Nothobranchius furzeri: one gene and its partners. The protein of the gene in region 5 purifies or fractionates together with the protein of the main gene of each other region. This does not show direct contact. Links are inferred from orthologs where the notes say so. Each region holds a gene or a part of one and is shown on either strand. Other genes may lie near its edges.

Region 1 (3,640 bases), about 12 Mb from region 5:
GAACTTTTCACAATACCTCTTAAATCACAAACCTCTCCCACAGGACTGCTGAGTTAAATCTGTTAATAGATGGGAGCAAGGGTTAATTTTTGTTTTGGAAATGTGGGGTGGTCCAACATTATTGTTTTCTGAGTGTTTTTCCAGCAGTGTTTTGTCTTATGTGAGGTGCAGGGTGAGTCAGAGGAAAGTGAGTAATGATTCAGTCATCCATGTAAATGTGAAGCTGCACATGAGCTTCTCTACAACGTGTAACATGCTTTATTTAGCTTTGTTCAAGTGCCTTTTGCTTATTTCCAACTTGTGCAGACACAGAAATGTAAAACTTGTAACTTTTTTTTTTGCGTGGACATTTTAGACATTTCTTTATGGTTCTAAAGAATGCATTATATTATAGGTGAGTGTTTGTTGTTTAATGAACTGATTTATTTTGTTTTCCATTAAGGTAATGGCACACATGTATTCCTGCTTTGGTAGGAATAAAGGTATAAAGTAGGTAGGTATAAAGTAAATGAACCTTTAATAAAACACTAGGGACAAGTTATTAACAGAAAATAACTTGATGAGTTACATAAGCCAATGAACTGTGCAGTCAGTCGGGTAGATATGTACAGATTTCACTGCTGAGTAATAATTGACATTTCCTCTCGCTCTTGACTCTCCAACATCCCATTTACAACATTTCCCACATATCTGAAGAAAGCATGTCTAACATCCTCTGGGTCCTCTTCCAGGTTGGAGTGAATAAGCTGCAGTCTGCTCAGATTTGGTGCTGCATCAAAAGAGTAAAGATGTTAGCTCGGAAAACAAAACAAAAAACTGATGCAACACTTTTAGGAGATTACCTAAAGTCAACTGCCCATCTTTTACCTCACTGCCAGGCTTGTGATGAGCTATGAGTAGACACTGGTTGTCCTGCAAACCTTGGGATGCAATGAACATGGAGTACCAGGTCTCAATTTCTTTCAGGTGACTTGGAACAGCAGGATTAAAAATGGTCACCACACCATTACAGTCTTCCATGAGAGCAGGCCAGCATAATTCAAACCTGCAGAAAAGGGTTGGCATCAAAAAGCAGCTTTCATTTAGAAAGAAAAGGCATTTTCTTAGTGAATATGACTTACTTAAAATCTCCTGAACAATCCCAAAGTTCCACCTCACAGGTCTTGTCACCACTGCCTTTAAGCTGGGATTTGAATTCCAGTATCCTTGAGCAAGTAGAAAGTGAATGTGATCATTTTAGTATAATATGTATATGAGGTAATAACATTGAATGAAAGGTAATGAAAGGAAAACAGCCTGTACCTGACTCCTTTAGTAGGTCGGTACTGTCCGCCCACGTTTTCTGTCATGTCTGAGAGAAAATTGGCAAGAACAGTTTTCCCACTCTGAAAAAAGGAATAGATCACTTTAAAGATATGTTTAGTTCTCACATTTTACAATATAAGCATGTTTATGAACTGACCAGTGGTGCTGAAAAGCATCTGAGTTTTATTTGTACTACATGTCCGGTGTGACATGAAAATGGAAATAGCTGAGGTACAATTAAAGTGTGCTCGAGTAACCAAATAAAATGTATTTAGTTGAATTCAAAAACATCCAATCTTTTTGTCTTTTCACAAATTACTTTTTACACATTAAAAACTTTCAAAAGGTCTTTATTCGTAAAATAGCATAGTTTTGATTTCATTAACCTAAGCATTGCGTTTTTCTTTTAAATGCTTCCATACACCGTCATAACAAGGTTATTAGACTGTCATAAATATATGAATTCGATATTAGCTGAAGTGCTACTGAGATAAACATAAAATAGTTTACACTAGAACTGGGGTAAAGGTGCTGGAAGGCTGGTATTATGCATGTTTTAGTTGTTTGCCTGTTTCAACACACCTGATTTCAACGAGTAGGTGATTCTGCAGAGCATGATGAGCTGTTGAACAGATAATTGAATCAGGTGTGTTGAAGCAGGGAATCAACTCAAACGTGTTGGACATCTCGAGGACCGAGATCACTAAAGAAGTTAACAATACATGCTCATCTATATACGTTTTACGTTCATTTACTTACCTCGGTAGGTCCAACAAAGAGTATTTTTACTTTGAACATTTCCGAAGCCGAGCATTAGCTATCACGCTAGCTTTAAGAACCCTAAGAAAATCAACGTTTCAGCGTGAATATAAATTGCTAAGTACGTCTTTAAAGAAACATGTGTGTGGTATTTTAAGTTAAAAGAATAAAAGTATACTAAACTAGCTTATTTACGTTTATGTTCTCCGACTACAAGACTTCCTTGTCGTTTCTATGGTTTCAACCAAGCTCCCCTTCTTTCTTCGTCCATTGGCTGTTTGAAATTAAAATCAAACGTAGTCCCGCCCCTCTTTGCCTCGAGGAGCCAATAAGTGATGGGAAAAACATGTAGCGTCATTACGTTACTTCGAAGATGGCCAATCGCGCTTGAGCGTCCCTGCTGCCTCCCCAGTTGAAGTGGTATTATTTACAACAGAAACAAAGCGAAAGTGTGAGTAATATTAGAATTTTCTAGAATATACGATTTAAAGTTGAAATGTACTAAGTTTAATTACATTAGTCACCACGTGGTTGTTAGTGACTTAGCTTATTCGGCAAATTAACACGCGTTAAACGACGGCTTAGTCAAACCTGTCCGTTGCTATGGAGTACAGCATGTTAGCTTGGGTGTCCGCTGGCTTCCTGGTTCAAGTCAAATTGGCTGTAAAGTGTAATAAAACGATCTTATAAGCATATGAGATAGAATTTCCATCAGGATATTTAGTGATTTAACACTTTGTTTTATTTTGTTTATTATGTTATGTTTTTGTTAGTGGGGGGTATGTCTCCAGAGGATGGTGATCCCCAGAGTTCCCCTTTTCCTGGATTCAGTTCCACCAGTGATGATCTCACTCTGAGGCGTGGTGACCTAGACAACAGTCATGAGCCACAAAAAGGAAACAGGTCACAGAGAAAACACACATGTTTATAAACATGTGCTCTGGAGCTAAAAGGCTTACAACATTTTCTCACATCCCTATTTTTCATTTAGCTTTGAAGAGAAGCACACCTTTCTGAAACTACTGATTGATGCAGAAGCTGCTGCCAACTCTGCAGGAATACAACTTGCTTCATTCAAAAATGCAATAGAAGATGAATTTACTGTATGATTAAGAGCAATTTTTACCTTCTTCTGTTTGGTTTGAGCATTTACCGTGTCTGTAAATAATCACATCTTCTTTCAATTCAGGATTTGGGACCGTCTTCCAAAGACAAGCGTGGAATCACAAGGCAGAGAGGACTTTTGCTGGAGAAGTTGGAGAATTTTAGACGAATAAATAAATCTGTGCGACAGGAGTTAAAACTACACCAAAATGCAGAGGTGGATTTTTAAATGTTGAATTTATGCAAAAAAAAATGACTTAAAATTTTTCTCTAAATATAAATTGTAATAAGTTTGACTTTACCTGCTTTAATAATGAATTCCTTATACAGGTTAATCGAATTACTGAAAAGAAACGGACAGACCTCTTATTAAAGAAGATAACACAAGCTGAAAGTGAAAATGAGGTGAATGTTTTATTATATCATATTCTATGATGGGAGAAGATATAATTAGTCAGGAGTTGAGTCAAAC
Region 2 (4,027 bases), on a different chromosome or scaffold from region 5:
TTCCCTCTTTCCTATTCTCTCTTTACATTTTTAATCACAATTGTCTGTTTTTGCTGATTTTTAATCATTTTCTAAATTCTTTTACATTTTTTGTGAAGCGCCTCGTGATTTTTATCTTGAGGCACTTTAGAACAGATCTTTTCTTATTCTTCTAACAGCATGGGAACTAGCCTGGCAAGCCAGACTAAATAATCGTATTACTTATATTATTTGTTTGCACAATTCATTTATTATTTATTTGCAAACTTTGCAAAGCAAGAATTTGGTCTAGTTCACTAGGCTCCATGGGAACACCTCTGAGGAGTAAACAGCTCTCAGATTTAAAGCAACTTTTTGTTCTGTAGGTAAAAAAAAAAGAAAATCCTGGGAGTTTTACTAAAACCAAACATACATGTGAGATTAACCCACCAACCATCAAGACAGATTTATTCAATACACAGTATTCAAGTAAAACATCTGTAGGAATCTAAGAAAAGCTTGTGTTTATATCCGCAGGTCGGCTAGAACGGGCTTTCATAACAAGGAAACGTTTGAAACTTGCTAACAATCACATGCAGAATTCATGACAGTTCATAGAAAAAGTTACAAAACTAGATATACAGATTAATTTTCATCATGAAAAGTATTAATAATGCTGCTTCATATAAATAGATCTACATTTTTCTGTTGGACTTTGATATAGACACATCTGATGTTGAGCATTCAGCATGGCTGCTTTGATGTGTTGCAGACACACACACACACACACGCACACACGTCTGAGATCGGCGCCGCAGAAACGGGTGTTGAGGTTTCCTGATGACACTGAAGCTGGGTTTCAGATGACGAAGCTCCAGTAGGAGTGACTTAAAATGACAATCACTCTGGAAAGGCACTCAGAGGCTGAATGTATCGTTCTTTATTCGTGTTCTCTCACTTCTGCAGAATAAACTGGTCGATGAACTCGTTCTGTTCAGACTCCACTTTGGACAGGGCTTCGTACTCGATGCGATACCTGAAACACAACAGCAGCTCACAGGACGGGACCGACAGTTAGAACTTGGGGTAAATATGAAGGTCCACTTCACTACAGCTGACTCCCAGCACAATACTCCAGACCCCCATTCCTCTGCTGCTCCTGCCTCAGCTTCGCCGAGGAACAAATAAATAAAACAAGGCAGTAGAAAAAAGCCTTTTCAAGAACAACTGAATTAAGTAAAACACTGTGTGCTCCTGAAGCCTGTTCCATTTTATTACTAATGTTACATAAACAGGGCTTTTTACTGAGTTTGAGGCACAAATTTGATTATAGCATACAAAGTGGAACTAAAAAAAACTTCCTTCAGTCCTTCAAAATAATAGTCTCATCATTTACCTTAAAACATCTGAAGGTTAAAAACTATATTTTTCTACAAAACAAAAAAGTTCATCACTAAAGTATTTTAAAAGTACCCTTATAGGTGTTTATTGTTCTGAAGGTCACGTGTCCCTAAAGGGTCATGCTAACCCATCTGACACACGTGCACCGCGCTACTTTACCTCTCCAACTGCATCTTCTTCTCAGTGATCAGGGCCTGAAGCTGCTGCTGCTGGGCTTCTCTTTGTTTTGCCACAGACTTCAGCAAGTTTCTGGCTCCAATCGCCTACAGGACAGGATGATGAGTAATAAGTTCTGCTTACACATGATTAGAGCATAAACCCGATACCACTAAAAGTTTCACAGAATCAGGAGAGAAAACAGGGACATACAAAGCTGCTTTCTGTGTCAGACTTACCTTCATCTTCTCCGTTTCTGCTTCTTTTGCCAGTTCGTCCACCAGCTCGATTAGACCACCCACGGTCTTCTGAAACTGTCCAATTTCTGCAACAGAGGAGACAATTTTGCACACACTGTTGAGGCTGGTGATGATGAAAGGGAATAAATAGTTGGAAAAGTGTGGGGGTGGGGATGAGGACGTAAAATCTCCATGCTTACTGTCTACAAAGTCCTTGCACTCTTCTTTAAGCTCTGACGTCTTGTGGCTGACATCAGGCTCTAGCACCCGCAGCTTGTTCAGGTCATCAAAATAAAACCCTGCCTCTGCGAGTGGGTCTTTAGCCATGGCCAGAGGCCTGTCATCAACGACAGATGCAACTTAGTTTAGTAATATCAGATAGTTTGTAGGATAATATACCTAACAGGTAACACCCCATTATCATCATAATACACACAAGAGCAGGTTCAAAACAAACAGAAGTAAAACACATTATTTTACTAAAGATGTTCAAGTGCAAACCTTTCGGTAAAGCAGGATTCCTTCTACTCTAGTGCTTAAATTAACAGCACCTTAAATTAACCTCGGCTGAATGAAAGTTCATGTGTCACCAAATGAAAGATTATGCTTTTATTTTGTTTCGGTCATGTTAAGAACTCCCCAGCTAGATGATTTAAGTTAGCTAGCATAGCTAGATGTTTCAAAAATGCCACAAATTGTTTTCTGTCACCACTTCATAATAGATGACCAGTTTTTATGAAGATAAGAAACACAAATGTGTATGTTTTACCTGTTACAGTCGTGAGCTGATAGGCTTTATCCCGTGTGATGTGGCAGAGCAGATGAACTAGCAGCTAAGCTCCTCCTGTCGCTGCCAAGGAAACCAAACAGCTACAGCTGTGTCGGGGTCTTTGGGGGTGGTCGTTTTCCCCTATCCTTCTTAATTATCATAACAAAACTATTCACTGTTTCGTTACAACGCTGTCCCCTATGTTTTTTCCGTTTGAATACTTTACCGGTGTGTTACGTCAACATGAGTTCCTCTAGGGTGGGTGGAGGACTCGTATCGAGGTAACACCGGAGAACGGGAGTGACATGTTTATCGTAATGTTTTTAGAACTGTGACCAAGTCAGTCGCTCAGTGACATAAATGATCTAAAATTTAAATCTAAAAAAAAAAATTAAATAAAAAAAAAGCCCAACTATATGTTGTTTCTCTTATCTACTGTGGGTGTTCCACCCCAATGCGGAAGGTGACGGTAATGAACCGAAAAAGCAGTTCGCTAACAGCCATTCCAGAAAAAGAACAAGAAACGGATACGTCTGTTTTGTTTTCTTTCTTTTTTAAAATCATTTAAAACTCCATTTGTTTATTGTTGTTGTAAATATTACTTAAAATCATAAAAAAGAGGACGGTGAGTAACTAAAGCTTACAGACTCATACCGTGTTTAGGATCAACTGTAGGATCCAGTTTGGCCATTTTTTACTTTTCCTTAGTTTATTGAAGTTTTACCTCGTGATCACGAATATTCAGGAGTTAGTTTTCCGTTTACTAGAAATGCATTTAATGCAAACAGCGATATCGTTTCAGTGCGTTCAGCTTCTAATATTTGATCTGTTGTTTATCTGCTTTTCTGAGTTTTTGGCTAATGTTAGCGGGACATGCTAACAAGATACAGTAAAACGAATAAACATACAGCATAAAAGCTTTAGTTTCCACTGACCTGTGCTATTCTGAACTGAAACTGTATATCAGAGTTAACACGCATGTGAAACTAAATATTGTGTTTACACGGAGTTTAGTTATCATCACCTAACCTAACTGTTACTGGGCCCCAAACTATTTTTTTATCGGAATTTTTTAGCAGCCACACAACTTTAACCAGAAAGCAGCAGCTTCCATCTTAAGCTAAACTGATTGTTTTGGGACAAGAGTAAATGAAAAACTCCCTACTGGAGCCTCATAGGTGTTTTGGATCTGTTGGACTTCAGATAAACTGGTGCACCATCTATCTGAGACGGAAACAGGAAGTACACAGTACGATGTCCTCTGAAAATGACTACAACCGCATTACCAAATAATCTCTCAAAAATAAACATTAAACTTTGACGTATTCGTTTAAATAACAACTAAGGTATTTTATCAAGTGCTTTTAACTGAGAATGATACAAATAGTTATGAATCACAGGAGCTATTAGATGTTTAAAGTGTAACAGAAAGAGAATTTTAAAGTGTTTGGTTGTTTTATTAAACACTTTGTGTTCTTTAAGGTTCAAACACCTCCTGTAGACC
Region 3 (3,500 bases), on a different chromosome or scaffold from region 5:
ATAACATTAAAACCGCTTTACACAACCACACCTGCTTCATTTGGACCTGACAGCAAAGTCAATATTTTAAACAGTTTTTTATAACCCTAAAACTGTCCAGAGAACAATGATGTAGACTTTTTGGTTGGGCATGGGTTGTGATGGAGAGCACGGGGCATCTTGTTTAGATACTTGATAAAAGTCATTTTAATGGAACCTCCTAGCCAGCTAGACAATTTGAAGGACACCTGTCATGATTTCTTATATTTAATGTACTCGGCGATGGCACAGGAGTTGAGTGCTCGCCTCGTAATCGGAAGGTTGTAGGTTTGAGCCCCACTCAGTCTGTCGCTGTCTCCTTGGGCAAAACACTTAACTCGACTTGCCTGGTGGTCAGAGGGACTGGTGTGTGTGTGTGTGTACGGCAGACTCACCTCTGTCAGTCCTCTACAATGTAGCTCATTACCACCAGGGTGTGAATGATTGTGTTGTAAAGCACCTTGGGGGGTTCCAGGACTCTAGAAGGCGCTATATCAAATACAGGCTAGCCAGCCAGCCAGAGAGAGTCACCGGACGGTATGGACAGGTTTAAAAACCCAAAATTGGCTTCACTGAAGGACTGGAAATGATCAGTTTAAAGACTGAAGGCAGAGAGGAAAATGATCTCAGCCTGACCCAAACAAAGTATTGTTATCTGAATCTGACGCCCTGGTAGCCTTGAGCTGCAAGCAACTAAAACCCCCACGAAGGAATGCAGACAGATATTGTGAAAACCTGACCTATCCCCCCCATCCCCCCACCCCCCGCCTACGGATTGGTGGACTTCAGCCAGGCAAGGTCGTCAACTGTAGGAGTCAATGTACTCTGCTTCTCCCAAGATCTCCCTCCCACCTGTGACTGTTCAGTAGATGAGCGCCGTAGATGGCTGCTCTCGCTGGGGGAAACAGGATCCCAGCCCCCCCCACCTTCCTATTGGAGTCTCATGTTATGTTGTGTTATGTCTGAAATCTGTTGCATATTTGTTTGAGGTGTTTTTTGCAGAGCAAAGCTGCCCTCCCGGTGGAGGGTAACTCTGAAGTGCCTTTTTTTCCCTCCACCTGAACATATCCTCATGTAACCCTCTGATCTCCATTCAGGTAGAGCGACTCCGGTTGCGAATGACCACAGTCACCAATTCTTGTCATGTGTCTTGCCCATGTATGTCTGATCTCTGAAGTGTGTGTACTGAAACTCTAATTTCCCTCTGGGATCAATAAAGTATTGATTGATTGATTTCCATGCAGAACGTAGTCAGACTGCTACCACACTATCTGGGTGATTCAGCTCGACTAGAACCAGTTGGCCTTCAGCCAGACTAACACGTTTACATGCCATTAGAAAACCAACTAGTCTTTTTAGGGCAACACTTTGGTTTCCTGATGAGCAAGGAGACACACTGGCTGAGAATAAAGCTAACGGAGCGGAGCTGTGCCGCTCATCATCGGGGACATTCTGTTCCCAAAATACTGAATTTTCACAAGAGCAGAATTTACAAACCCTCTCAAGATTTAAACAAATTACGTCCACTTTTCATTTGACCTTGTTTACAAAAACACAAGTACAATTTTATTATGTGTTGAAGTGTGACGTTTAAGCCAGAATCTGTATAACGGAACAATGTGCATCATAAAAACCTAACATGCTATAAACTGTTCCATTGAACTGTGGTGACTTCATAAATAACAAGGAGCTACCTGTTTAAAGTACTGTACACTGAAACAAATCAAAACTACTAGCTCAGACAGATTTCATCCGGCTTTCCTGAGTAGGGCTCAAGCCCAGAAGAGACCGTAGAACGAGTTTAAAAAACAACAACCTTCAAATGGGTTTGCATCAGCAACACTGATCCGCTTAGTCCTGTCACAATCCTCCAGCATACGTGCACACTGTGGAAACTTACTGTATGAGTGTGGCTCTTTCAAAGTACTGGGTGGCCTTTTCAAAGAACTGACTCTCGATGTAGTGAACCCCAAGCCACTCGATCACATCAATCTTGCAGGGAAACAACCTGAAGGACTGAAAAGGACACGTTACACTAACGTGGGCCAAAGGTCAACAGGGCGGCAGATGGCTGATGTACACTGCAGATATTTTTTGGCATGATGTGATTTTCATTTGACAAAGGTGTAATGCACCTGCTTACACTTCCAATCATTGGCCCCTTAATGAGTTACACCGGATTAACATGTTAACATAAATACCTAACCAGCCAGCAAGAAGACAGCAACTCTGTGTGTTTAGGCATGTAGATGTGGTGACGACAACGCGTAGAAGTTCTAGCTGAGCATGGGCATGAAGAAGAAAGGAGATCTAAGGGATTTTAAACGTGTGGTTTTGGGGAACAGACCGGCAGAGCATTTCAGAGTCTGCTGATCTACTTGGATTTGAGTCCACAGCCATCTCTGGGACTTACGGCGAAGAGAAAATCAGTCAGCAGCTGTTGTGTGGATGATAACGTCAAGAGGAACGGCCAAACTGACAGAACTAAATGACACGACAGCAGCTCTAATAGTCACTGGTTTCTACCAAGGTCTACAGGACCTCACCCGCTGCTCCAGATGGACTCCAGCAGCAGAAGACCACAGCAGGTGTCTCTCCTGTCAGCTAACAAGAACCTGAGGCTACAATTCCCACAGGACCACCAGAACTGGACCAGTCAAGACTGGAAACACCTCTCCTGGTCTGATGTGTCTGGTTTAACCCCACAGCCCACCTGAGTGTTGCTGCTGACCATGTCCATCCCTTTATGACCACATGGACCCATCCTCTGATGCTACTTCCAGCAGGATCATGCACCGTGTCACAAAGCTCAGATCATCACTAACTGGTTTCTAGAACACGACCACGAGCTCAACCGGACCGAAATGCTTCAGAATTCAGGCATTTTGAAAGCAAAAGGAGATGAGGTTCACCACTGAACCCACCACTAGTGATGTGTTCCTGAGGAAATCGGTTCTTGAGTGAAAATAAACATTTATTTATCAACACTCAGGAGAATCTGGGAACCTGGAAGTACAGAATAAATGATTTGTGCAGCGTTTGTTAAATCTCCTCGGACACCTTCTTTTCCCGTCTTGGTCATCAGAAAAGATCAAACAAACATCCCTTCGCCTTTCTGTTCAGTCACAGTGTCAGGTGTTTATTTTGCATACCTCACTATAGTAATGCAAAGCCTGAGATTTGTCCCCCTCGTCATTGTGCAGCTTTCCTAGTTTGGCCAGGACATGGGGGTCAGTCGGGGTCACACAGATGACCTGCATCAGCCACTTGATTGCCTGCTGACGATCGCCCATCAGCTCGTAGCTGAGTCCAAGGTTATTAAGGACCAACAAATGCAGACATGGTGCTAACAGAGATGCCGTTTTGAATACCTGAATAAAAACCATTAGGGCCACATTAAGTATCTCAAAACAAGTGTGAAACTTTTAATCTAGTGGAGAGAAAAATGCATCAAGATTTCTTATGAGCAGGATACATATCGG
Region 4 (4,000 bases), on a different chromosome or scaffold from region 5:
AAAACATTTTCCGTGTGAAGTCAAGTGTTGAAAAGATAACAAAACAAAACAATAATTTAAAATACAGACCTGAACTTTCTTGATGGCAGCTCTCAGGGCTTTTTCAGTCTCGTTAATCTCAAGAGGTCGAGCAATGGCAGCCATTCTCGCTGCCTGTCAATTAGAAAAGAAGTCCGTCAACAATTAAAATCTAATTGTCTTTTTCTAATCAAATAAAAACTTTTTAAAGATGTTTAAAACTGCAAGGTATGGTTTGTTTCCCTTTACCCTTAGGTCCACTTCTTTTCCCAGTAAGTCGTACAGAGATGCTCCTTTGGATGTGACTTCAGATGCAAGCTGACGAACTGCTTTAAGGTCTGAAATCTGCAGCAGAGACAACGTGAGAGCTAATAAGCACTCATCTTTCACACAAGTCTTCGGAGCATAAAATGTGTGGGCAATAAAAGTGACTGCCATTTACTGGCTAACATATGTCCACAAGTCTGGAGGTTTTTGTTGGCAGGTGTTGAATTAAAAATGCTGATGCAGCAGTGTTAGCTGGCGCACTCAGCTACCCAGCAGGCTCATGGATTGTAAACAAAGACTTTTAAAGGAGAAAAGCTGGCCTCCATCCAGCCAGCTGAGAAGGAAATCTGTTTCAATGTAACCTTCTTTCCAGCATGATTGAGACATTAGTTTTTGATAATTTCACAGTAACATGATTTTTTTCTTCATTTAACCTGGTAAAATGCTTGAGAACAAGTTCTCATTTACAAACAAAAATTCTTACATATTGTACCTTTACATTAGGCCAATTTTTCTGCTTCCAAGCATTGATCTTGATTCTTTATTGATCCCTCTTGGAGAAATGATTCCCTGCATCCCTGAAGAGCAGTGGGCTGTCGTTTGTACAGCACCCCAGGGGGGGAAATTTCAGAGTTCAGTACCTTTCCCAAGGACACATCAACACGTGGTCTGCCAAGGCCTGGGATCGAACCACTCACCTGCTGCTCTCCCTGTTCAGCCACGGAGACTTATTTTTAATAACTTGATACAGTTTTGATGCAATAAAAACTACCCTGACACAAACTCCTGTTATGAGATTGTGTGTGCCTGTAATACTGTCAGTAAGTAATACTGTCAATAAGTAATACTGTCAATAAGTAATACTGTCAATAAGTTGTGCTTTGATTGTTTTATTTAAACTGTCTTAAGTTCCCAATTTATTCATAATGTACCAAACTCCTGACACCTTACTGTTTACTAATATGTTCATAAATAACTGAGGATACAGGAACATGTGTGTAAAATTACTCGCAGACAAGCTCACCCTTGAGCTGAGGTCAAACTTAAACTTGTTATCTTCTTCCACTACATCTTCCTGAGCCATCTCTTTGGTTTTCATAGCATTGTAGATCATCGAGGTGATCTTTAGCATCTCTTTTACTGCGTAGCCATCCGCCTGATAAAGACGCTTGGTGTTTAACTTAATGTGAGCCTTTGTAGCCTGTGAGCAGATTAGACAAAAGTTAAAACAGACTTTGAATTTGGGTGGGCAAGAATACAGAAGATAATCTGTAAAAAAAATGTCACCATAAATTGAGCCACAGCCTTGATGAAGAATATTCTGTCTGACTCTGTATCGACATCAGTGGGAATATCACTGTGAGGATCATATCTACAAGAGGAAAGAAAGTGAACAGGAACAAAATTACAAAAAAAGTATTTAGATTTTTTAATCTTGGAATATTTGATGAAAAACCAGGAACAAATCCAAATAAAGTAGTGATAAAATTAGGAATTAAATATTTGTGCAAAAAACTGAAGATGTTTAGACAATTATGTAATTTATTTAAAAGTGTGATGCCATACCTCTTTACAAGCCATATGAGGATTTCTGACACCAGCGCAAAGTTTGGTGTCCTGAAATTCTCCATAGAGATCAAGCGATGGTAGCCCAAGGCCCTCATCATCTCTGTGAAATCTGCAAATAACAAATTCAGGGTCCAATCACTTGAAAAAATGTGTGTTACATTATATAAATATGGAAAATAACACACACTCACTTCTTAGGTCTCTGAAAGACATGCTGACCTGAAAGGAAAACATGTCATTATTGAGAGTGGTGTTACCTAGAAAGCTCAATGTGTCATATTTGAGATTATAGATGAAAACATAACCAAATAATGTTTCCAACAAATCAAAACTATTTCTTCCCGTTTAGAGTCAATGATGATAAAAAAAAAAATAAAAGAATCGTAAACCTGAAACGTTTGCTAGCTTTATATGATTTGATTAAATTAATTAATTTAAAAGCAATCAATTTCCCTCTGGGATTAATAAAGTATTTTTGAATTGAATTGAATTATGAGGGGACAGAGCAAATGTGCTTTGAAATATGGTATTTTTGTTCTATCCGTGTCTTTTTAAAACAACCATGTTTATGCTTTGTTTATAATCTGTTCGGCGCTTCATTAGTCTTGAAAAGTACTTAAATAATAAAGCTGGATGGAGAATAACATCTGCAAACTTCTGTTTATGTAAACGTAACCACGGTCTAGCCTCTTTAGCTGAATGTTAGCAACAAGCTAACACGACAACCGCTAGTGGCTAACAGCTAGTTAACAAATAAATAATTAATATTTTACTTAATGCGTTATTAGTAGTTCCCAGACGGATTTAAAATTATTACGATATTGGTGTCATTACCTGTTACCTTATGTCCAAGCTAAGTTATTCCGTAGACGGCCTCTAGAAATGGTCGCTATGGAAACATTCTCACTCTCATCTACGGAAGCTCGATGTAGTCAAAGCTCAAAGAAGGGCGGAATCAATGTCTGTGGGAATAACTAACACTTGGATTCGTTGTACTTTATTAAAGTAAATGCAATAATAAATGCACCAATGTCTCTTTGAATTTAAACATTGATTTTTAAATTTGGACATGCTTCAATAATGAAGACAGTTGGGGATAATGACGTTTAACTACACATTGTTTATTCTGATCTTATTTATTAGCACTTTCCAGAAAGCACGATTTAATGTGTAGAATGACGGACAAAGAGTGTATAAAACGTACATGATTTGACATGTCAGCTCATAATACTCCAAAACTGTGCCTATGAAACTGATAGTCATTGGCCTTTGCTGAGTTTTATCTATTTAAACATCTTCAACACACAAACTGGGTTACGAAAAAAAGATTGGGCAGCATTCTCACTATACACACACAAAAAAAGGAAATATTCACATTATACACACCTGCATTTAAAATTATTGCATGTAAAAAAACAATAGAGGTCTCAATAGAATTTGCTCTGCTAGTCCTGCAAAATGTGTCTCATTTTATTATCATTGTAATATAATACATGTGCTAACTTGTCTTTTTCTGATAACAAATTTTGAGTAGCAGCTGAAAAACAACTGGTTTTCAGGTATTTCACCGCTTTTGGTTGAATACATAACTCCACATGTGTTCATTCATAGTTTTGATGCCTTCAGTGAGAATCTGCCAATGTCATGAGAATAAAGAGGGCAGGGTTTATCAGATGGAACGAGGGAAAAACCATAAAAACAATACATATCAATACTTACAATTATGAAGCTGAGGTTGACTTGCAATTGTAAGTGGACCTAAGTGGCAAAAAATCTGTTGATGACTGTCATGCAGGACTCAATGAAGTCAATGCAAATGTGCAAAGCAATCTGTAGAGCGGGTCTCAAGATAAGCTGGGAGCTGCAATACAAGAAGCAAAAAATGCTCTAACTGTAGCAGCTACACCTGCTTCTGCAGACAGATGAGACAACCATGACATGATGTGTCTGAGTCTCAGTCAACCTCAATAAATCCAGATACAGCAAATTACATAGCAACAAGTCAAATCAACAAACACCCAGAGTTAATTAGAGTTTATGATTGAATCCCCCTCATATAAGCTCTTTAATGGGCTTTTTTTCAAAATTTTAAAAGGAATCCACACACAGAGGCTCTGTGTACAGGCAACGATCACACAAAAGACAA
Region 5 (4,162 bases):
GCTACGCTGCAGCACAGACGAGCGTGCACCTTGTTGTCGGTCCTGATGGTGACCTTGAGCAGCGGCAGGACCCTCTCCACCTCCAGGTTCCATTCCGCTGCCTCCATCGTAGATTCCAGAATCTCATCGGGTTTGGAGGACGGTTCTGCTTCCTGTTAGACAACAGAACCGGTTCCAGTGAGAAGGAAGCTGGGTTTCCAAACTCCAAACATTCCTCTAAATAAATCTCACAGTGTGAGTTGTTCTCAGCTTCAGAGCCTCTAGGTCCATCATGGTTTCCTCATCCTCGTCAGCTTCCTCCTGAGGAACAAAACCATTCAGATTTACACTTTTTAAAATGATGAAACGGTTTTCTGTCAAAATCAGCAGCAACTCTTCCTGGCTCCCAAACAAGATGCTGCAGAAACATTTCATTTACTTTTCACGCCGTTTGTAAAGCATGACACCACTACGCTCTCTGATGTTTCAACAGAAATGTTTTTAACTTCAGTTCATTTTGGTCAGAGTAAAAACAAACTCGTTTACAGGTAAATAAGCCAGAAACACGTACAATCGTCTCCACTTCTACTTTGCTGAATGTGAGCTCGGCGTCGTCCTCCATCACAGACTCTTCTTCTGTGTTTTCTGTTGGGTAGCTGGGCCTAAAAACGGAAAGACAGCTGTAAATCCTCTCTCTCTCTCTCAGTAGGAGCGTGCAGAGGTGTCAAAAAGCAGGTTTCTTCTGTTTTTGCTCTGATCAACAAACGTCACCATCAAAGACGACTGAAAAGCAGTTTCACATCATCATACTGAAACTTGTTTGATCGCTGAAACATTTTTGCGAATATCAAAACAAAAACAGACAAAATCTGTGAGAATCCGTTTTAATGTGTGAACTGGGATTGAGACAAAACCAAAAAGGTTTCCTGACAGAAAAAGACTAGAGGGATAAACGTGCATTAATGGGTTTTATGTGACAGTAATAGATGTTTTGACCCAGTAATGAGATAAAGGAGGACCCGTTGTCGTACCTCCTGAATGTGAAGCCTCTCTTCTTAAGCGCTTCTTCAGCCAGACGATCCAACACAAAGCAGACGTGCTCGCCTGAACCCGACTTGAGTTTGGAGGGAGGGAAGTCCACTTTTACACCCTGATGGAGACATGGATAAATACCCTGAAACCCCCGAGCTTTAATAGCAGCTGGTGTCAGGAGTTACGGAGAAAAAAAATACAAAAAATTTATTGTCGCACAAACTATTCATTTTATTTATTTAGCTCTTGTTTTTGATAATTTCACAAAAATAAAACGTCTGATTCATGTAGCAGACGCAAAATTATTCAAGGGGAGAGAAAAGTTTGTTGTGACGTACGAAAGCCCTGAGTTCTGTCAGGATGTTGGACACGGTGGCGTTGGGTTCGTCGTACTCCTGAGGCTCGGCGAACGCTCTACCCGCTATGTTGATGAGCCATGCAGCCATGATGGTGAACATGTAGAACTGCTCACCAGAGTTGGACGCCAAGAATGGACTGGAGACAAAGTAATGTCTGAGGGGAATTAAGGACACAAAAATGCTATTTTTTAATCTTTCTTTATAAATGTATATTTTGTAAGATTTCTAGAGTCAAAAACAATCTTTTACCCCGAACGTTCTGAATATAACAAAAACTCTAGAGAAAATGAACTAAAACCTGATGTACACTTTCATGGGAATTCTATTAGTTGAGAGCTGCATGGAGGCCTTGTAGTGAAAAGGTGACAGGTTTGAATCCCATCTGACTTTTCTGTGTGGAGTTGGCATGCTCTCCCCATGCATGTGTGAGTTTTCTCCCACAGACTAAAAACATACATGTCAGGTTAACAGAGACACTCAATTGCCCCTACGTGTGAGGGAGACGGGTTGTGTGATAGACTGGAGACAAGTCCAGGGTGTCCCTCGCGCCCTGTGACCCTACTGAGGATGAAGGGGTTTAGATGAGTGAGTGATACTAAGATATCAGATAATAATTAGAGGAGGACGGGTTTGAGCTAGTAGCAGGAAACTGGAAGTCTGCAGAAAACAAATAAATAATGTGTGTGTTTATGTGGCTTCCCACTGCTAAATAAATTATGTCCGCACAATCAAACTAAACGCATAGACATGAATACAAAAACAGTGTCTGAGTGTTGGACATGGTGTCTCCAACAGGAAGGACACATTTAAAGCTTCTAGGAAATGTAAAAAGACACCAAAACACAGAAATGTTTGTTTTTATAAGTTAAAACTTGTGGAAAAGCTATAAACAGAATTTAAACAGAACAGGTTCAGTAGATCTATAAAATTATTGTCCATCTTGTGTTTCTGCCTTCCTAATCTGCTGTATTCTGGTCACTTTTCAAGTTTAACACAGAAAAGTCAGATTAAATAGTTTATAAATTAAACCTAAACTGTGCTCAGACCCAGATTAGGAATCCAGTCTCTTCTCACCTGGACAGACTCTTCATGTTGTGTTTGGACAGAAGTTCCTCCTCGTAGTTCAGGACCTTTAACTTCTCCAGCAGGTTCTCCATCACCACAAACGCCTGGTGGACCGAACCTGGCCCGCGGTCCGCATCCTCTCCTCGTCGAGCCTCCTCCGACATTCCGTGGTATTTCCCCAACGAAACACCTTAAAGGTTAATTTTGCTCAAAACGCGGTCGGTTCGGTCCGATTTTGATGGCTCGCTTCTGATGCTGCGGTTTGTTTCACTTCTTGTCGGTTGTTAGGCAACCGAAGCTAGCCACCTAGCTGTGGAGGAGGATAACCTTAGCCAGTGTGTCTTATTTTCAAGCTAGGTTAGGAAGTATTTAAAAGTCTATTCAACAGCAACAACATTAAAACTAACAGGTTAAGTGACAAACTCAATTCAAGCGTAAAGTATCGCTGTTAAAACGAGCTTCTTCTTCTGGTTTGATTCAGATTTAGCCAAACGACTTCAAGGTGCGTCACCACCACCCAGCGGGCGACACGAGTACTACACGCTTTTGAGCAAAATAAATAAATAAATAAACCATTGCAGGGCTATTCCGATTTCCAGCCTTCCAGCACGTTTTAGTGGTTTCTCTAGTCACCTGTGCAGCAGCTACACCAGGCTCTGCAGAAGCCTGTTAATCACCTGCTGATTGAAAGCAGGTGTGTTAAAACAGGGTTAAACTAAATGTGCTGGATACCAGTACTGGAATTGAAAAGCCCTGCAGTAGGGTGTTTGAATCAGCTTAGTACTACTGTAACTTACCAGTTAAAAAAAGATGAAAGAAAACCACCCGAATCAAATTCCAAATTGTAAAGATTACTTGACTTCATTGATGTATTGAGTCCAGTTCTGCAGAAGGAGCTTGATTGTTGAGCAAACCTATTTTTCATTTGATCCATTTCCAATTTCAAAATAAGCCTATATTGTCTCACTTTGTTTGTTTGGGTTTAGCACAAAAGGTTCCCACAATGGCATTGTTTCTGATTCTATTTCATTCAAGTTCAGCATTACTATGTTGCACAAAAACCTTCTTTTGATTAATTCATTTCCACAACAGCAAAAACAAACCATCACTTACATCAGTCATCAGCAATCCTCTAGTCATTTTCGTCAGAAACCTTTATAAAAATATTATCCATGTTGTAGCAACTGCAGCTGCTTCTAGAGCAGAACAAACATAATGTTACCTCTTCATTGTGCTACAGTATTAGCTGAAGCTCACCTCCGAGCCAACGCCATCTTCCCCGTGTGACCCTGAACAGGAACATGTAGGTGTAGAAATGATCACCTTACCATGGGGGAGGGGCTTCCGGACCCTGTCAGCTGTGTTGTCTGGGACATCAGACCCTGGTAGGGCCTCCAGGGTCACTGAGCCTCAGAGGTTCAGAAGAGTCCTTCAAAGAACTTAATGTAGGAGGACCAAGAAGCACCAGACACCTCACAGAGAGACACAGTCATGAGAATCTGGATGAGATTTTTGTTTATTTATGACAACAAAACTTAAACCCAATTAAAACACAGAAAAGGCAACACTTTGGGATAATTGTGGTCAACTGAGTCAGTTAGCAGAAGACTTCTAGATGAAATAAAGGGGAGAACATCCTGGACTTTGTGTGATGTAAAGCTACATTCCACCTGTAGATAGCATGCACACTGCTCCTATCTTGGTCAGAAACACTTTCTAACACATGA
Region 6 (4,285 bases), on a different chromosome or scaffold from region 5:
GAGCATCTTCAAAACTAGCACCCTCCCTGCACCCATCCCCCTCTCTACTGACCTCTCCTTGTTCCCTCCTCTCCATGATTCATCATGCTGCCTCACTGCCACCTACGACTGACATGAAATTGGTTGTTGTTCTTGTTGTTGTTATTGTTGTTGTTGTTAGCCTCAAGGGCAACATGCCGATTACCACTTGTAAGTAACTTTGGCCAAAAGCGTCTGCTAAATACATAAACATAAATACATAAACATAATTTCATGGCTGTTGCCAGAATATTCTAGATGACAAGCAAAGACGAGTTATATACATTAAGTTGATAAGTAGATAAATAAATTGTAATATTTGGTGTTTAATACGCTTGGGTGTTTTACAGCAGGGAGCACTTACTACCGTTATTATGATAATATGCCTCCAGCAAAGAGGAAGTGCAGTTGTTTGCCCTCCTGCCTTTTAGCTTGCTGTTACAGTTTTGAATGACTCATTTAAAGAACACCACGATTTACTCATAATTCACTTCACGCATACATTTTACTGTAAGATTGAGTTGTTGGTTACAGAAAAGGTAGCTTATGATATTTATAGACCTTAATGTTTGCTTCTAAATCACTGTTAGCATTGTTAGCTCAACATTAGCCTCTAGCCTGCTTCACTTGATGTGAGTGTAAAACAAATGGATACAGTGGCTCCTAAAGCCTGATTTATACTTCTCCGTGAGCTCCGCAATGGGGAGACGCACATGGAGTGTCGGACAGGTTTTCACATTCGAACTTCTGTTAAGGCAGCGGAGTGTAGCAAAGCAATTCCCCGCCAGGACAACAGAGGGCATAGCGCTGTTCTATGGTAGCCTGCCACCATAACTCTCACGTATCCAGTCCCCGATAGTGTATTTACTAATATGTTTATATATTTCAGAGACTTTATAACAAGAACAGATTTGTCCTTCATTCTCCTCCACCTCTTCATGCGGTCGCCACCTCCAAACTCACTTTTACCGTCCATGTTTGCTCTGTATTTTATACTCCTTCACTCACGGGTGAAATTTTTTTTTATTATTTTTGAACTTTTTCTTTAATCTGTTCTGGGTCTGCTGCTAAATATCTGTTAACTTTTTAACTGAGCTACAGCTTTGCTAATGACGAATATACAGGAAGCGGCATCCTGACCAATCACAAGCTTGCTTTCTCCGTCACTTTCGATGGATGTTTATAACTTTGGGCATGTCTCCATCACCCTCTGAGAGCCCATCAGAGAGCCCTTGCGCCGACGCATAATGGCGTTGCATATCTCCGCACCGACGCAGACGGTGAAGTATAAATTAGGCTTTAGGGGTACAAAAAACTTACTTCTGGGTCGCTCCTGTTTACATGCTTCAATTCTTTAAACAACTCTGGAGATTTTTGTCTCCCGGTGTTAAATTAAAAATGCCGATTCTGAAGTGCTGGCTTGCTGCAGATGTGGCAACCTCACTGGTTGTAAATGAACTATGTCACTCGTTGTTTTTTTTTGTTTGTTTGTTTGTTTTTTTAAGGAGAAAACTTGACAACCCCCTCCAGTCAGCTGAGAACTTAATGTGTTTCAATACAACCTTCCTTCCAACATGATTGAGACAACACTGTCTTGTGAATAGTTCACTGTAAAATTTGTACATATTGCTCCTTTAAAATGACAACTGATTTAAAGAAACTTGCCATCTGTGCTGGTAAGGACAAAGATCTCAGCCTGGACCTGTTTCTTGCCACCGATGGTTTTGGGGAACCAGTGTAGTTCGATGGGATAGATGTCTTCCGGCAACCGGATGACTAGGCTGGTTTCATTATTGAGCAGGTTCCACTTGAGGATCTGATGATCCTCACTGCAGGAGTAGAGCTCATCTGCTGTAGTCCAACCTACACAACTGGCAAGTTCTTTATGTAAAATGCAGTTAAGGAAAATAATTCAAGTGAATTGCTTCGTCATTCAGCTGACTGTAAAGATCGACATCTACATTCACAAAAACAGAGACGAGAACAAGAATATATCCTGGTGTGAAACATATAAATGTTCATCTTTCTATCATATTGTTTATTTAACAATCTAGCTTTGCAACTATTTTAAGCGCTACCTCGCAAACAAAAAACTTCTCTTACAATATGTTGCTTTATGAATAAGAGGGTAACTGATGTAAAAAGGGTAAAAATTGTAAATGAACACTTTTCAGTTTTTCCTTGATTACTCGTGTTTGCAACTGGAATATGTTTAACATCTTTGTTCTGGTACTTTTAAAATAAAAAAAACGATTTTATTGGGTTATGTGTTCATTGGGGCTGACAAAGGTAAGGAATTCTGACAATATGTGATGTAATTAATGCAAGTTTGAGCTGGATTAAAAAAACGGACATAGCTAAAGCTAATATCAACATACAAAGGATATGTTTGGGTTCCTTTAGCAGCGATGTTTTCAGTCTCATTGTAGGAATTTGCTCTCCTAAACGAATAAAAACAATGCCAGACAACACATGTTATTCAAATGCGGCATACATGAAATAAATAATTCAAAACAACACATAAAAACAACATTAAGCGTACGCATCATAAACATACCCCGTTGATGCGGTAAAACGTTCCTTTAATGGAGGAAAACCCTGGGTGTTCTGCAGTTGCTAAGGTGGCTGGCACCGTTGCTAATGTGAATCCTCGGTAGGACTCGTGCCAGTAACTTGTGTGCTAACGATCCTCTTGAGAGCCACCGACATCATACTGCAGTTAACGAGTTTATCCGTAGCGAACCTGCGAGGCATACGTGTCGTATAATACGGTTCAATTAAACAGCAACGTAAAAATCAGCCATAAACAGCACCAGGCACTAATTTGTCATAACGTAAGGCTAACTTTTTGGTAGCCATTTGAGAGGACGTTTAAAACGGTAGTTATCGCGAGATTTACAAATATCTTCCCGAGAAAACAAATTCGAAAATGCTTGTAAATTTAAATAAGATCCCGTTAATACCATCCACATAAATATACGGTTAATACATGCCACGTTTTAATCAAATCAGACGTTGCACGTATTGTAATAAACGTAATGGGCATTTTTTTAACTAAACGAATTCTTAAAAGGCGGAACTCACTTCTACTGTAACTGTAAACATAAAGAACAAGATTAAAGTTTTTATTTGCAACAAAACGTCATTTAAAATTGTGTATCTTAAACTCCAGAACAACGACTCTTTATTCTCTCCGTTTTCTTTTTATGAATACTGTAGATGTGGAGAGGCGGAGTTGGCTTCGTCCCCTTTTTTGAATTTCGAGTTTTTTCCCTGCCCTTTGAACGGTCCATGGTGCCTTGCGTCAGTTTGTAACGAATTTGGTTTGACGGCGCAGTTTAGGCGCCATTTACAAGTTAGAATTTTCAACCAGGAAACCGACTCGGAATGTTACAGGGCTGAATTTTATGGATTATATTCGCCGAAGTTCGGATTTCCTGGAATTTTTTAGAGCAACGACCTGGGAAAGAAAGGAGGACTTTTCACGGACCGCGTCGATATTGTGGAAGGTACCAGGAGATATCTTAGCGAGGAAGATCGACTGGGTGCCGTCTATTTGCTGAAACGCGTAGCGTTAGTTTCAAACTAAAAGTACCACTGACGATGTGGAACTGCATTTTAACTGAAGAAACCCCGAAAAATAATACAAATAGACTTGTGTTGTCTATCAGCTGCGAATTAGGACTTCATAAGATTTGTTATATATTACATTCGATCTAGATTGTTTGCCAAATCTAATAGCAGTGTAACGTGGACCGTTTCTATTTTCAAGCTAGTTTTTGTCCTTTTGATCAAAGTTAACGTGACTTTGGTTGAGTTAATGCTGTTGCTCCCCGACCTACATTGCCAGGGTTATCTATTATGTTGCTTGTGTTAGTTTGTTTCGTGTTTTTTAAGGTTAAATTGATGCGGTGGTTATTTTATGCATTTGAACGCGCTTATCCAGTGAGTTTAGGTTGCTCAGTTATACCTCCGCCCCCAACAGAAGAGCTCCCAGGATGGAAACTTAATGTTACTGTCAGATTGAGACCTCGGCTAGAGCCCTTCTGCTGCGTGGCTATGCAACATGGGACAAGACAAAGCGCTAAGGATAGAGAAATCGTCTCATTTGCATATTAACTGTATTTTGTTTTCAAGATATTAATCTTATTTTCACGTTTTCCGACCAAAACGAAGCGTGCCGCTTATAAATGACTAAGATGGTCACAAACAAACAAAAAGTTCAGCTAAGAAATTAGCTTGTTTTGTTATTTTAGTTAGTTTTATG
Region 7 (3,500 bases), on a different chromosome or scaffold from region 5:
CCAAGGGTGGCATTTGCTACCCCAGGCCACTCCCTGGACACGCCCCTGCAAGGCGGGTTAAGTGTCTTGCCCAGGGACACAACAGCAGCATTCTCCGGTCGGAGCCGGGATCGAACCTGCAACCTTCTGATTACTGGACAACCCGCTCTACCTCCTGAGCTACTGCTGCCCCCAAAGCCTGGTTTGTACTTCTCCGTGAGCTCTTAGCAACGGAGAGACGCACACGGAGTGTCGGAAAGGTTTTCACATTCGAACTTCTGTTCAGGCAGCGGAGTGTTACAAAGAAACTCCCCGCCAGGACAACAGAGGGCGTAGAGCTGTTCTGTGGTTTTCTCATGTATCCAGTCCACAATAGTGTATTTTCTAATGTGTTTATATATTTCAGAGACTTTATAACACAGACAAATTTGTTCCTCATTCTCCTCCACCTCTTCATGTGGTCGCCACCTCTAAACCCACGTTTCCCGTCGTTTCCATCCACGTTTGCTCCGTATTTTGTACTCGTTCACTCACGGGTGAATAAATGTTCTTATTTTCAGACTTTTTTCGAGATGCCTTCTTCATTCTCTTCTGGGTCTGCTGCTAAATATCTTATTACTTTTTAACAAGGCAATGGCGGTGCCGGTGAGGAATTTACAGGAAGCGGCGTCCTGACCAGTGACAAGCTCGAAGTCTCCGTCACTTTTGACGGATGTTTAAAATTTTGGGCATGTCTCCGTCACCCTCTGTGAGCCCGTTGGAGAGCCCTTGCGTCAGCGTATCTCCGCACTGACGCAGACGGAGAAGAATAAATCAGGCATAAGACCATAAAAGTTAAAGTGGTGGCTGAAACTCTGGACAGGGGCCCCCTAGGGACAATTTAGGGTTCTCAGTTGACCTAAAATATATATATTTTTGGTCTGTGAGACGAAATTGGAGTGCCCAGAGAAAACCCACACATGCATGAGGAGAAGAGGCAAACTCTGAGCAGATTGGCCAAAGCCGGGAATCTAACTTACAACCATCCTGCTTTACCCACTGAAATAAAATGAACAGTATGACCAATCGGGTAAGAAAAAAGCAGATTTATGTCACATTGTAAATTTTGCATTTGTAGTTGTGAAGCAAAATAGAATACCGGCCTTGGAAGTCTGTATTTACTTAGCGTCCAGGAGAAAACAGAGTTTGTCATGGCTAGTAGAAGCTAACCATTAGCATTAGCAATAATTGTTTTTGTGGAGCTAATACATCAACGCTGCATGTTTTACCCAAGAAAGAAGAGTAGTGATCTGACGTTCACGAACGAAACTAATCTCTTGAACTGCTCTTCAAAGTGAACAATGAGAGCCAAAGCCTTGGAAAGAACCATTCATCTTGTCTTCCAGTAACGCCCCACACTCTCACATTGGTGGAATGCTAACCCAGTCCTCCAACTAACTTCTACTTCCTGAAACAGGAGCACCAGAGCTTTTTCTCCCCACAGAAAACACTCACAAGGCATGATTTAAGACACCACAGCAAATTTAATAAATAACAAGTGCCTGCCCTCTTTAAAGTAAAAGCATTACTGTATGTTGAACAAACAACTTCAGAAAAGATTAAGTCCAACATTAATAAAGACACTTTCTGAAAAGTTCTAGTTAAAGTGTGAGATTTATCAAGCAAACAAAAATATAAACTATTTTGCGACTTAGGCAGATAATTAAAAATGTTAAATAATGCTAAGTACTCTAAAGTGCATGATGAGGTTTTGATGTCTGTTGGTACAACAGCGTTACTTTTATTCACCTGAAACACGAAGACCTTGGCAGTGCGTACGAACTCTCTCCATCCAACCACTGCAGTTGACAAATGACTGCTCATTGGTCAAATCAAACACTAGGCACACCAAAGAAGGTTCACCCCACTGTGAAAAAAGGGTGATATGTAGCAGTAAGTCTCATAGAAGCAGGGGGAAGGGACAGGTAGAGTCTGAGATGCTACAGGGATGTCCTATTAGCTTTGTTCTGTCTATTGCAAAAACAATACTCAAGTAGCACACTGGTGTTTTAACATTCTGAGGGGATGGAGCTCTGGTTGGACAGTTTTATAAGTTTCATGCAAATTAAACAAAGGTAATCTGACCATTTTCTCACAGCCCTCCGCTAGCGTCTCCTTCCCTGCAGAGTCTAAGATATAGAGCTCCTGGAAAGAGAGGCAAAAAAAAAAAAGGGGAAGGCAGAAGTGTTAACCGTGGAGACTTGGACTACACAATTTAAAATTCCCTTTCTCCAAGGTAAAGACATTCATCTTCTACAATTCCCCTACACTGCTCAATGAATACTGATAAGAAAGGGGGAATAGTAGATGGAAAACTTCATTCGCAGTGAGTGAGGGTTGCCAAAACTTGGCCTCTGTAATTTAGGTACTTTAAAATAGAAAAGAAAACATGAGGTAAATATTCAGCAGGTTTACTTAAATATCTATTATTCTTTTAGATTAAAGAATATCACCAAACTTTTGTTTTAAAATGTGAACAAATCAATGAAAGAAATAGGACAAACACGTTCACTAACACTAAAATCAAGACAAATGTTGTTGCTAAATAGTGCAGAGTTGTTGCTTGTGTCGGGAATCCTTCTCAAACCATTCTCTGTTGCTTCTCAGTTTAGTTTCCATGAATCAGAGGTGCAAGAAATGTCAGACAACTTTAAGAAGGGTTAGTGACTTACAGCTACAATGGCAGATTTGGAAAACAAATTAGGTTAAAAGTAAAACAACGTTCCAACATACTATAAACATGTATATTTTAGAGATTTGAAAAACAAATTATTAAAATGTTTCTTTTGAATTTATCTAATAAGCTCTGCCAATAACACCTTTTGGACCAAAAAAAAAAAACAATTAAACCATACAGTTGTCAGTCTCGCCAAACCGTCACACTTCCCTGGGTCCTACATTTATTGCACGCTCACATGTTTAGCAACAGAACACCACTGGTGTAAGAGATTTTCTGCTCATAGCATCAGAGAAGGAGAAACAGCTGGCTGCTACCACTTCAAATTTAGGACAAACTACTAGAGTCCCAAAAAGAAAAACACCATTTGAAGTCATGGACAACAAAAGAGGTTTGTACGTAGAAAACAGCGACCGGTGTTTAGCACTATCTCGTTTCGTCCGGCATTGCGGGATTCCGGTTCTGGCAGAGGTGACTCGGGGAAGATGTCTGAGGCGAGGTGTGAGTGTTCCGTGAATGTGTTTGCATTAAAAACCTAGCATCTCTCAAAAATGGAGCATTGCAATTGGTCGGACCCTAATTTGTTCGAGCCAATGGTAGACCTGATGAGGCTACAGTAGAGCATGGCTAGAAAAAAGCTATGCTTAGCTAGCTCAAGTAGCATTTGCTAGCTTACCACCGTGTCATTGGTCTCTGGGATGTTGACACACTTCATCAACAGCTCCACTCCAGCTGTCTGTTGAGAAAATAAAGAAAATATGTTAATTATGTAATAAAAAACAAAAAAGAAATATATAGTGTTTTT

Evidence for each region.
Region 1: the proteins of ift57 (region 5) and ift22 purify together in Homo sapiens (affinity purification with mass spectrometry; 3 studies listed by BioGRID and IntAct, counting the BioPlex papers as one, with this or other methods). This does not show direct contact. The link is inferred for Nothobranchius furzeri from reciprocal best matches to the Homo sapiens genes IFT57 and IFT22.
Region 2: the proteins of ift57 (region 5) and ift20 purify together in Homo sapiens (affinity purification with mass spectrometry; 3 studies listed by BioGRID and IntAct, counting the BioPlex papers as one, with this or other methods). This does not show direct contact. The link is inferred for Nothobranchius furzeri from reciprocal best matches to the Homo sapiens genes IFT57 and IFT20.
Region 3: the proteins of ift57 (region 5) and ift88 purify together in Homo sapiens (affinity purification with mass spectrometry; 3 studies listed by BioGRID and IntAct, counting the BioPlex papers as one, with this or other methods). This does not show direct contact. The link is inferred for Nothobranchius furzeri from reciprocal best matches to the Homo sapiens genes IFT57 and IFT88.
Region 4: the proteins of ift57 (region 5) and cluap1 purify together in Homo sapiens (affinity purification with mass spectrometry; 4 studies listed by BioGRID and IntAct, counting the BioPlex papers as one, with this or other methods). This does not show direct contact. The link is inferred for Nothobranchius furzeri from reciprocal best matches to the Homo sapiens genes IFT57 and CLUAP1.
Region 6: the proteins of ift57 (region 5) and ift80 purify together in Homo sapiens (affinity purification with mass spectrometry; 3 studies listed by BioGRID and IntAct, counting the BioPlex papers as one, with this or other methods). This does not show direct contact. The link is inferred for Nothobranchius furzeri from reciprocal best matches to the Homo sapiens genes IFT57 and IFT80.
Region 7: the proteins of ift57 (region 5) and ift27 purify together in Homo sapiens (co-immunoprecipitation; 3 studies listed by BioGRID and IntAct, with this or other methods). This does not show direct contact. The link is inferred for Nothobranchius furzeri from reciprocal best matches to the Homo sapiens genes IFT57 and IFT27.

The regions. Positions count from the first base shown.
Region 1 is NC_091751.1:48,583,784-48,587,423, forward strand, and holds ift22 (intraflagellar transport protein 22 homolog), read right to left. Parts: upstream 2,349-3,640; 5' UTR 2,260-2,348; intron 2,146-2,259; 5' UTR 2,104-2,145; coding exon 2,065-2,103; intron 1,386-2,064; coding exon 1,303-1,385; intron 1,206-1,302; coding exon 1,122-1,205; intron 1,046-1,121; coding exon 843-1,045; intron 770-842; coding exon 615-769; 3' UTR 501-614; downstream 1-500. Other genes in the region: outer dense fiber protein 2, read left to right, coding at 2,846-2,967, 3,056-3,167, 3,254-3,385, 3,499-3,573. UniProt on the Homo sapiens protein: Small GTPase-like component of the intraflagellar transport (IFT) complex B.
Region 2 is NC_091753.1:22,422,731-22,426,757, forward strand, and holds ift20 (intraflagellar transport protein 20 homolog), read right to left. Parts: upstream 2,801-4,027; 5' UTR 2,524-2,800; intron 2,092-2,523; 5' UTR 2,082-2,091; coding exon 1,955-2,081; intron 1,841-1,954; coding exon 1,755-1,840; intron 1,623-1,754; coding exon 1,519-1,622; intron 995-1,518; coding exon 913-994; 3' UTR 327-912; downstream 1-326. UniProt on the Homo sapiens protein: Part of intraflagellar transport (IFT) particles involved in ciliary process assembly. May play a role in the trafficking of ciliary membrane proteins from the Golgi complex to the cilium.
Region 3 is NC_091742.1:29,231,089-29,234,588, reverse strand, and holds part of ift88 (intraflagellar transport protein 88 homolog), read right to left. Parts: coding exon 3,494-3,500; intron 3,322-3,493; coding exon 3,171-3,321; intron 2,035-3,170; coding exon 1,919-2,034; intron 1-1,918. UniProt on the Homo sapiens protein: Positively regulates primary cilium biogenesis. Also involved in autophagy since it is required for trafficking of ATG16L and the expansion of the autophagic compartment.
Region 4 is NC_091748.1:64,775,477-64,779,476, forward strand, and holds the start of cluap1 (clusterin-associated protein 1 homolog), read right to left. Parts: upstream 2,801-4,000; 5' UTR 2,689-2,800; intron 2,074-2,688; 5' UTR 2,068-2,073; coding exon 2,046-2,067; intron 1,964-2,045; coding exon 1,852-1,963; intron 1,658-1,851; coding exon 1,573-1,657; intron 1,487-1,572; coding exon 1,310-1,486; intron 364-1,309; coding exon 268-363; intron 154-267; coding exon 70-153; intron 1-69. UniProt on the Homo sapiens protein: Required for cilia biogenesis. Appears to function within the multiple intraflagellar transport complex B (IFT-B). Key regulator of hedgehog signaling.
Region 5 is NC_091751.1:36,282,714-36,286,875, forward strand, and holds the start of ift57 (intraflagellar transport protein 57 homolog), read right to left. Parts: upstream 2,801-4,162; 5' UTR 2,600-2,800; coding exon 2,445-2,599; intron 1,525-2,444; coding exon 1,350-1,524; intron 1,130-1,349; coding exon 1,011-1,129; intron 642-1,010; coding exon 551-641; intron 301-550; coding exon 232-300; intron 153-231; coding exon 30-152; intron 1-29. UniProt on the Homo sapiens protein: Required for the formation of cilia. Plays an indirect role in sonic hedgehog signaling, cilia being required for all activity of the hedgehog pathway.
Region 6 is NC_091753.1:52,601,098-52,605,382, forward strand, and holds the start of ift80 (intraflagellar transport protein 80 homolog), read right to left. Parts: upstream 2,801-4,285; 5' UTR 2,576-2,800; intron 2,460-2,575; 5' UTR 2,443-2,459; coding exon 2,403-2,442; intron 1,903-2,402; coding exon 1,684-1,902; intron 1-1,683.
Region 7 is NC_091746.1:76,141,234-76,144,733, forward strand, and holds part of ift27 (intraflagellar transport protein 27 homolog), read right to left. Parts: intron 3,432-3,500; coding exon 3,372-3,431; intron 2,164-3,371; coding exon 2,104-2,163; intron 1,886-2,103; coding exon 1,768-1,885; intron 1-1,767. UniProt on the Homo sapiens protein: Small GTPase-like component of the intraflagellar transport (IFT) complex B that promotes the exit of the BBSome complex from cilia via its interaction with ARL6. Not involved in entry of the BBSome complex into cilium. Prevents aggregation of GTP-free ARL6.